2 linked regions of the Schizosaccharomyces pombe genome follow. The protein of the gene in region 2 interacts with the protein of the main gene of each other region in a pairwise test. Each region holds a gene or a part of one and is shown on either strand. Other genes may lie near its edges.

Evidence for each region. Proteins that work in one complex are often made in the same cells at the same time.
Region 1: the proteins of bqt2 (region 2) and bqt1 interact in a two-hybrid assay, tested with the Schizosaccharomyces pombe proteins (2 studies listed by BioGRID).

The regions. Positions count from the first base shown.
Region 1 is NC_003424.3:3,270,846-3,275,868, forward strand, and holds bqt1 (bouquet formation protein Bqt1), read right to left. Parts: upstream 1,855-5,023; coding exon 1,572-1,854; intron 1,523-1,571; exon of another isoform or gene 1,421-1,522; coding exon 1,305-1,420; 3' UTR 1,253-1,304; downstream 1-1,252. Other genes in the region: CHS5-like protein Cfr1, read left to right, coding at 1-1,252; puf4 (RNA-binding protein), read left to right, coding at 3,290-5,023.
Region 2 is NC_003424.3:1,806,050-1,810,887, forward strand, and holds bqt2 (bouquet formation protein Bqt2), read right to left. Parts: upstream 1,733-4,838; coding exon 1,669-1,732; exon of another isoform or gene 1,594-1,668; coding exon 1,434-1,593; exon of another isoform or gene 1,354-1,433; coding exon 1,221-1,353; downstream 1-1,220. Other genes in the region: histone demethylase Jmj2, read right to left, coding at 1-748; SPOM_SPAC1002.07C (N-acetyltransferase Ats1), read right to left, coding at 2,193-2,327, 2,379-2,489, 2,581-2,611, 2,658-2,692, 2,751-2,869, 3,117-3,192; RNA polymerase-specificity factor Mtf1, read right to left, coding at 3,974-4,838. UniProt on the Schizosaccharomyces pombe protein: Involved in chromosome segregation. During meiotic prophase, connects telomeres to the spindle pole body by forming a bridge between the telomere protein rap1 and the spindle pole body protein sad1.

The sequences.
Region 1 (5,023 bases), 1.5 Mb from region 2:
TAGCGTTCGTATCGATACAACTCATTTTATCTGCTCTTCTACTGGGGGTCCTGAGTACGAAAAGGCAAAAGCTGCCAATATCCCTATTTTAGGTTTGGATTATTTGTTGAAATGCGAATCTGAAGGACGTTTGGTGAACGTTAGTGGTTTTTACATCGAAAATCGCGCTTCTTACAATGCTAACGCTTCTATTAATTCTGTAGAAGCTGCGCAAAATGCTGCACCAAATCTCAATGCTACAACCGAACAACCGAAGAATACCGCTGAAGTTGCTCAAGGTGCTGCATCAGCTAAAGCTCCACAGCAAACAACCCAACAGGGAACTCAAAATAGTGCAAATGCTGAGCCATCTAGTTCAGCTTCTGTTCCGGCTGAAGCGCCTGAAACTGAGGCTGAGCAATCAATCGATGTTTCCAGCGACATTGGTTTACGAAGTGATTCTAGTAAGCCCAATGAAGCTCCAACTTCTTCGGAAAACATCAAAGCGGATCAGCCAGAAAATTCTACAAAGCAGGAAAATCCCGAAGAGGATATGCAAATAAAGGATGCTGAGGAACATTCGAATCTGGAAAGTACACCTGCTGCCCAGCAAACTTCCGAAGTTGAAGCTAACAATCATCAAGAAAAACCATCTTCTTTGCCAGCCGTTGAGCAGATTAACGTGAACGAAGAAAACAATACCCCGGAGACTGAAGGACTTGAAGATGAAAAAGAAGAAAATAATACAGCCGCTGAATCTTTAATCAATCAAGAAGAAACTACCTCCGGTGAAGCAGTTACAAAGAGTACTGTTGAATCCTCAGCGAATGAGGAAGAAGCTGAACCTAACGAAATAATTGAAGAGAACGCTGTTAAATCTTTATTGAATCAAGAAGGACCTGCAACTAACGAAGAGGTTGAAAAAAACAATGCTAATTCTGAAAATGCGAATGGCTTGACAGATGAGAAAATAATCGAAGCCCCTTTAGATACTAAGGAAAATTCAGACGATGATAAGCCATCTCCCGCAGCAGCTGAAGATATTGGTACTAACGGTGCAATTGAGGAAATCCCTCAAGTTTCTGAAGTCTTAGAGCCAGAAAAAGCGCATACTACTAACTTGCAACTGAATGCGCTCGATAAAGAAGAAGATCTAAATATTACTACAGTTAAGCAAAGTTCGGAACCTACGGCTGATGACAATCTAATACCCAACAAAGAAGCAGAAATTATACAATCTTCTGACGAGTTTGAAAGTGTAAACATTGATTAATGACATTGATCTCTTGTATTCTGCAGTCTTTTTTTTTTCTTATGTTTATATGTTAACATTCTACGAATATCCTCCACTTTTCCAATCGTTTGACTAAAGGCACATGGGAACCATTTTGAACTGTAATGCTCTGGTATCCTTGCAGTCTTCTAGACCATGGAAGTACATCTAAACTCATTTAGCATTAGTAAATATATAGCTTCGGATTTTTTTTTCGTTCTCTAATAAATTTTTTTTTTTAAATTAAATCAACTAGGTCAAAAATGGGTAATGGGAGGTTTTGAAATTATGTTTCATTATACTGATAGACAGAACTTACAATATCGTAGTTTGAAATTCGTGCTGGCGTCTTCTTCCATATGTATCAATGATTCTTTATTTTGACCTTGGCAAAGCAAAGCGAATTGCCATATATTCGGAAATATCGAGTATAAATATTCTATCCTTTCAATTGAAACTTGAATAAGGCTGTGTTTTAAAAATCTAGCATGCTCACAGTTTGAATCAGTGCATACAGGTGTTTGAGTATAAATCGCGATTTGGGTTAAATATTCTACTTTGTTTTGTTCAAAAGAAATAAGCGTCGTAGTTAATAAATGCATTTTGTTTAAATCAGTATCATTTAGGATGGGTGAAAGGATTTTTTTTTAAAACGCGTCGTTTGTAGAAGAAGAGGTGCATAAAATATGAACACACCACATATAATAATAAGAGGATAGACATTAAAGCCAACAACCTATTAAAAGTGTAAATTTGAAATCAAAAAAGATTAAAAAAAAGAATAGGAATCGACTTCTTTTACACAAAGAAATCCACACCTATTTGATATTAGCTTGGACATCCTCTATTGACGACTGCATTTTCTGATAGCACAAACAAGACTTTTTCAGACTTAAATGAAAATTAAATAAACCAACAGTGGGTTTTTTAGGGAAACCTAAAAATTCAGAGAATCTTAAGCAAGTTCTCTGTTTTGCTTTACATAACAATCTTTAACGCCCACAACGTTGTAAAGATATCACCTATAAAAATAAAAAAATTACGCTTTTGAGGAATAGATGTGCTTTTTTATACATATGTTTATTCAAAATACAGCTCACTGTCTTAATCTGCTAAAGTAGTAGACCTTGTTTACCTATCATCTTTAGAGTGCATTAAGCAGTTGTTAAGCGAAAATTGCGTCATCTATTAGTGAGCCTCTGTTTACAAGTTGACGGCTGTTTATGAGTTTTGAAGAAGGAATCCAAAAATAAATTTGATTTTCACTGAAAATCTATGAAATAAATATGTAGCGACTAATCATACACAACAATTGTATCAAGTTGCCGACATAAAAATACCAGCTGGCTCAACCTTTATAGATACTTTTGAAGAGCTCTTATAAGCATTAATTAATGTTCGAATGATGTAGTTATTGCTTAAAAAAAAGAACCGCCTGGCGTTATTCTCGAGTAAAAGTAAAATCAACATGTGCAACGAAGGAATGGATGCACTGACTGCCGTCAATTTCTCTCAGCCGTCCTCCCAATAAAAATCATTAAGACATGTTATTAAAAACATTAAAAGGCATACCAACGGGTGTTGTATCTTACAAATCACCTCATGGGATCTGTTTTTTGTCAAACTACGGCATTACGCCTTACAAGAAAAAATGTAGAGAGTGAAACGAAACTGAATTGGGATGATTCTTAGCATTTAAAAAAATTGTTTTTGTCTTCGAAGCACAAATTTCACATTTTCTCTTTTTTTTCAAATCCTTCCTGCTTCTTCCTTAGTAAGTTGCGTTACCCGTAGTGTTACCTGCTGTCGGTACAATACATCTCACAGTAAGCATGGTTTCCACTCCACACACTGTACAGTCGCCTGCTTAAAGTAAAGTAGAGGTTGTGTTTTTTGTGTTGTATCGTTCTTCTCTACATCTTTTTGTTTGTATCGGGACAGGAAATAGTTTGGGAAAAATCCCCCACTAAGAACAATTTATCCCACGGACTGTTAATATATGACAACAGGTAATCCTTCGCAAAACATAAGCGTAGCATGACCGAGCAGTCTTCTAAATCTCATCCATCCTTTATGTCTACAGAATATTCGCTTCCAGTCTTTTCTTCACAGTACTCTGATATTGAGAATAAAGATGTATTGAAATCGAATTCTTGGGATCCATATGCCGCTAATGCGCCGATTGCTTTGTCTGAGATCCCTTCATCTTCTAAATCCGGAAAAACAAATGGTTCAAAAGCCGCTGTGGAAAGCGGTTTGGCATCCGGCGCTTTCGGAAACCGTACTGGGAACATGAACCGGAATACTAGCATGAGTGGATACACGTTCGGATCTTCGAATTTCGTTCCCTATAACCTTCTTTCTAACACTCCTTCTTTCACTACTTCTCACTCTTCATCAACAACTTTTGTTCCGCCTGCGACTATGGGCGGTGGATTGAATAATTTGTCATCTCCATCTTCTTCTTTATACTTGCCTGGCTCTGCTTCATACCAAAGAAGTAACTCTAAAAATAGCTCGGCTTCTATCTTACAAATGAATACGACGTTAGATGACATCCCCATACTTTTACGTCGTCCTGGATTGTCTTCGTACACGCCCGGACCTTCTACTTCTCGCCGAAGCATCTCTTCGTCGTCGAATCTTGGAGGTAATCCTGGCTTGATCGCCAATAATCCTTCGGCTTCTAAAAACTTTGCCTTTACTTCAGGTTCTTCGTCGACTAATAATTCTACTACTTCTTCTTCATCAATGGCCAATGGTCTGCAATCTATTTCAAAGCATTCAGCGGCCTTCCCTCTACTTTCTAATGCCACTTCTTTCTTTGGTGAAAATTTAACTCCGTCTTTGGCTGCCTCAACGGCCAGTACGGGCAGTACTGACAGCTCTGGCTCAAATATCGCTAACACACTCATTGCTCCGACACCGACTATTTCTCCTCCTTCGGCTAATACTGTAGGAAATCCGAGTCCTGCTGATACCCCTGGGTTTAACGTGCCTAGTTTGATATCCGATGACCCTAGCGTGTCTTCCTCTCTCTCTTCTTCGGTTGCATCTCTTTCATTGCAAAATAGCAATATTCTTTCGTTCTGTAAGGATCAACATGGCTGTCGTTATTTACAGCGACTTCTAGAAAAGAAAAATCAATCTCACATTGACGCCGTTTTTGCTGAAACCCATCCTTATTTAGCTGTGTTAATGGTTGATGCATTTGGTAACTATTTGTGTCAAAAATTGTTTGAGCATGCATCTGAAGCTCAACGATCTACGTTCATTCAAATAATTGCCCCTAAACTTGTTCCAATATCGTTTAATATGCACGGAACCCGTGCTTTACAAAAGATTATTGATTTAGTCTCTTCTCCTGATCAAATTTCTTGTATCGTGAATGCTTTGCGTCCTAATGTCGTGCTTTTGACTAAGGATTTAAATGGTAATCATGTCATTCAAAAATGTCTCAACAAATTCTCTCAAGAGGACTGTCAGTTCATTTTTGATGCTATCTGTGAAGATCCGTTAGATGTTTCTACACACCGCCATGGATGCTGTGTCGTTCAAAGATGTTTCGATCATGCATCACCTGCGCAGATCGAGCAACTTGTGGAACACATTGTCCCCCATGCGCTCACTCTCGTACAAGATGCATTCGGAAATTACGTTTTACAGTATGTTTTGGAATTAAACAACCCAAACCATACTGAGGCTATTATCTCATACTTTTTATACAAAGTGAGAGCTCTTTCAACTCAAAAATTTAGCTCTAATGTAATG
Region 2 (4,838 bases):
TCTGATCTTTAATACTAATATTAGAATGTTCGTCTTTTGTAAAAAATTTAGGGAAGAGATCAGTTTCAAAGCATTGATCCTCAGAGGTCTGATATTTTCTGACGAAATCCTCAAATGGAAAAATATACCTTAAATACAAGTCACTTGCTTCCTTTAATGATGCATTAGTAAAAGGAATTGAAAGTTCTCGTAAAATCCTTTTCCATACATGAACTTTTAATTCCTTCTCACTTAGAGATGCATGAGAATCAATACAACGCATTAAGCTGTATAAGTCGATAGACGTATTGGAAATAAAAAATGATTCCGGGAGCTCCATGCCCAGATTGCAAAAAAAACGGTAAACGCGTTCATCGTAAGAGACTATTTCACGAAATCGAAGATCCATCATATGCAAATCCTGCCGCCGAGTACGGAAGGAAAACTTGTTCATGTCAAGTTGCATCGGTGGATTCCAACCAGCAGGAGGAACGATTTTTATGATACCATATTTTTCACCGATTGGAGCTATCTTATTAATATAACCGATAGAGTCCTGAAATTCCTCTTTATCAGGATAAAAAACGGGAGCAACTGGAAGTCCATGAATGGATTTGGAACGCTGTTTTCTTTGTCCGGTATTTTTTGACATAGAGGATAAGTTATTTCCCCGCGTATTCATCCCATGAGGTGCAGGTTTTAGTTTATCTGTAGCATGAGTGTATTGTACAAAAGATGGGGAAGTTTGATGAAAAGTAGACTTGCTCATGTTTCCTATGCAAATAAGTAGATAAATTAGTCCGAATGGTGAGCGATTCCAGAAAAAAAAAGTTATTATAAAAAGAATTAAAAAATAGAGAATAAAAAAGAAACGAAACGTAAATGAGAAATAATAAATGGAAACAACAGTTTTTAAACTCGGACTTAGATGAAGTAAGTTTTTTATGTTTATGCAATGTATACTTGTTCAATTGTCCATTGAAAAGACGTAAGTGTCTTTATGGGATATAAATAAAGAAATTAGGTAAAATTCGAAAATAATCTTAGGCTAATAGCATAAATAGGCATTAAATTAATATTCGTAACGTATGGTTAAGTGAAGGTTGTGACAACTTCAGTTGACGATTTTGAGAGCTAAAGGAACGATCATTAAATTATAAAGGATAGAAAAAGGAAAGGTATTTTTCACAATTAGCATAGAATTTACAATCGGAACAACGCCATATCAGCACCAAAGCATTTCAAGGTAATTCACCGTTTAGAAAAGAAAGCGTGGATGGCAGAGGCTGTAGATACACTGAACGTATTCTGTGATCAACATATAAAGGTTCCATCACGTTCAAATGAATGACAGGTTCAGAAACGTAACTTTTGCTAATAATGGTGGTTAGTACTTGCCTTGGTAAATGATAAGATAAACTATCAATGCAATATTTAGTAAATTTAATAAATACCTTCTGGAAACAGCTACTTGCTCCGCAATCCACCAAGGAGAACGACATTGAACTGATTTGTAATTTGGCAAGCGGACGTGCTTTCTTAGATGCATTGAAAATGCATAATCAAAATTTTCATAACCTTCTGCTAAAAATTTCGCTTCTCCGTTGTGTAATTCTATCTTTAGTAAGAACAACTGAACCATAAATCATTCGACAACAAACAAGTGCACATCAAACCTTTAAAACTTACGCCATAAAGCAATTAATGCAGAAGGTACGGTTTCATCAAAAAAGGCGCACTTTCCTTGAAACATTGACAGGCAAACTGTTGTAGGTAGTTGGTTTGTTTACAATTGCGCGCGACGCGTTTCGAAAAAGAAACACAATAAAAGATATTCAAGAATACTAACCAATACTTTCTTTCTATTTTTTAATACACAATAAGAAGCCGATTTGATGAATTGAAAGGAAAACGATCAAATTAGTTTTATAGGAATTAACATTAGAACAATATACCAGTTCTAATAATTTACTTTGCAAAAAAAAGGATTCTTTATTTTTTAATTTTAAAAAATGTAAGATGTAAATTGATATCGTATTTTTTGGTAAACGGGAAATAACCTAAAGACATTGAAATGACCGCTTTAAAACGAAACTACAAGATCCAGGATCTTTCAATCATAAAAAATTAATTTTCCTCTTTCCAGTTCAAGGTTTCAAAGGTATAACATATCATGCTTCAATTTTTTAGAGCGTTAAGTATTGGGTATGAGTTTAAAAGTTGCCGGGAAGTTTATCAGCAAGAGCCTTTAGGTTCTCGCCGGTGACTCTCATCATACTCCATCCTCCAACTTTTTGTGCTCCAGCCTTTTCATAGACTTCAATGGCTCTCTGGTTCCAATCAAGGACCTAGGGTATTAGTCAAGGTATAAAAAAAGAAATGGGTTATAAACAACTTACAACCCAGTCAAGACGTCTGCCACCAATTCTAAGTGATTCTCGTGCTAAATAAGACAGTAAGTAGCTTCCATATCCTTTTCCACGGAATTGGGGTCGAACATATAAGTCCTCCTAAGAAATTGAATGGTTAAAATCTTGCTATGAAATCAAAAGTTAATCCTTCAATAAAAAGGTTATGAAGGACAATATGATAAGAACATACTAAATAAATCCCCACTCTGCTAGTCCACGTGCTATTCAACGTCAGCTCATATATTTCAAAACGGAACTTTTCACTACCTAAAATTTAGGAAATATATAGCCATTCCTGCGGGCTGATGGCAATTATAGATTAGTAAAAAAGATCAAGCAAGTTTACTTTTTTTTACGAACCTGATCATTTTCTTCGATGAATACTCCATATGCCACAGGAGTAACCTCGTCAATAAATCCAAATGCAACTTCTAAATTCGGAATTGTCGCTTCCACTTGATCTTCACATTTTTCAAATTCTTCATAAACAAAATGTTAAAACCGGTTTTTAAATAGTAACACAAACTGATCTGATAGCATGCGGACAGAAGTAGAGATCGACCCTGCTGACGAAAACCATATATTCTCAAATCCATATAAAAAGCTTAAGAGTAATCTCCAATTCAATAAGAGAATCAGACCCTGTGAGTCTGGGATACTGGCAAAAGCTCTAGCCTTTTAATAGAATCTACACGACTTCGTCCTCTTGGTCATAACGGCGCTTACCTGCCAATTCTTTAATAAACTGATAAACGGTCGGAAGATCTTCTTTAATGACAGAGCGAATGCGAACTGAACCCATGTTTTGAATTAATTGGTTTACTTGGTGTGCAGTGCTAACAGTAAATAATATGCGTGGCCTAATGGTAGTTTATTGTCTAGCGCACTTTAAACTGATGAGATCTCATCATATTATTTTTGGAATGCCAAATACGGGTAGAAACTAATCTAGTATGTTCCATTTACCTTTTTATGTTTGGGAATGAATAATCCGCTTTTCTACTGAACGATTATTAAATACTACCTTGAAAGCTAAAGCAACTCATAATAATGAAACATTAATTCAGTAAACAATTTAATAAACAGCATGGTATAATAAAGAATATTATAATAGTTTTTCGAAGTTATGGTATTTGTATTAATTAACATCTAAAAAAGTTGAAAGATGTAAACTTCCATTTAAAATAGCTCAGTTAAATCCATATTGCATTTATGCACTTTCCAAAAAAAAAATGATACCTGAGACTATGAGAGACATAAAAGAACGTAAAACAAGCCTGAACGGAAGCTATCCACTTAAATTGAATAAATTAGTAATAGATTAAGCAAGCATAAGTTATTTTAAATATGGTGATTAGAATGAACGCGTGTCTCAACGCAAACAAATCCTTTAATGATGTAGCGAATATGGCACAGGCAAATAAATGAAATACAGTGGCCTCAGAACGCAATGAGTAGAACATGAAGTGGAGAAATGATAAAAAAGAGAGTGGTTTTAAAAAACCAAAATTACTGGATGCAAAGAAATGCGTGTATGAACAAAAACAATCAATACGTTTGTTTCCCCCAATTTTCTGTAAATTTTATGAATCTTCAATTATTGTACCCAAATGTAAATGATGTTTGAAAGGATATTTTTGTATAATTTTTGAAATGGTAAGAAAGTCGGCTGCACTCAATAGTCCAACGGGCATATCGATGTTAATCCCACATTGGGTGAAGGAGGGTAATAGAGTTTCCGCACCTGGGCCTAAATAATAAATGGATTTTGAAAGTGATGTTGCTTTACATGTCAACAGTATCCTAACAATGCTTTCAAACACTGGAATAGACAATTGTTTATCTTGTGGTTTGGAGCACATTTCAACCAAAGTAAGGTCCTCTTTATGCGGTTCACTAGTAATTGGCGTGGGTGAAACTAATAAAGGATTTGGAGAAATTTGATAATTCTCCTTGGCCTCTTTACTATACCCCATACATAATTTTTGCAATGTTGACTCGGAGGCAGCTAATACACGAGAGTCTGTAAAGGCCTCTCGGAAAACTGATGTCTTGGATCTTTTTGAAAATCCCCTACTTCCAAGAAGAGTAACAGTAGGAGAACAGGGCAACCATAGCAATACACGAACTCTTCCAAAAATGCCAAGCCAATCCCTTGCCGAGAGAAAGTCTAAAATTTGAGAAACAAATAATAACCCGGCATAACCATGAGGAAGATGAGCAAAAAATAAAAGTTCGCGATGTGGTGATAACTTCTGCTCCTCTTCTGTTTGAATACGAGGATCCAAAACCTTCGAAACGTACACATCTTCGTAAGTTTGCCAATAATAACCATCTTGATGCACCCACTTAATCCTTCCATCAGAAAGCGTACACAATTTTTGTAAAGGTTTGGAAAAAACTTCCCGTGATTCTAGCACAACGTGACTTTTAGGTTGGAAGTAATTG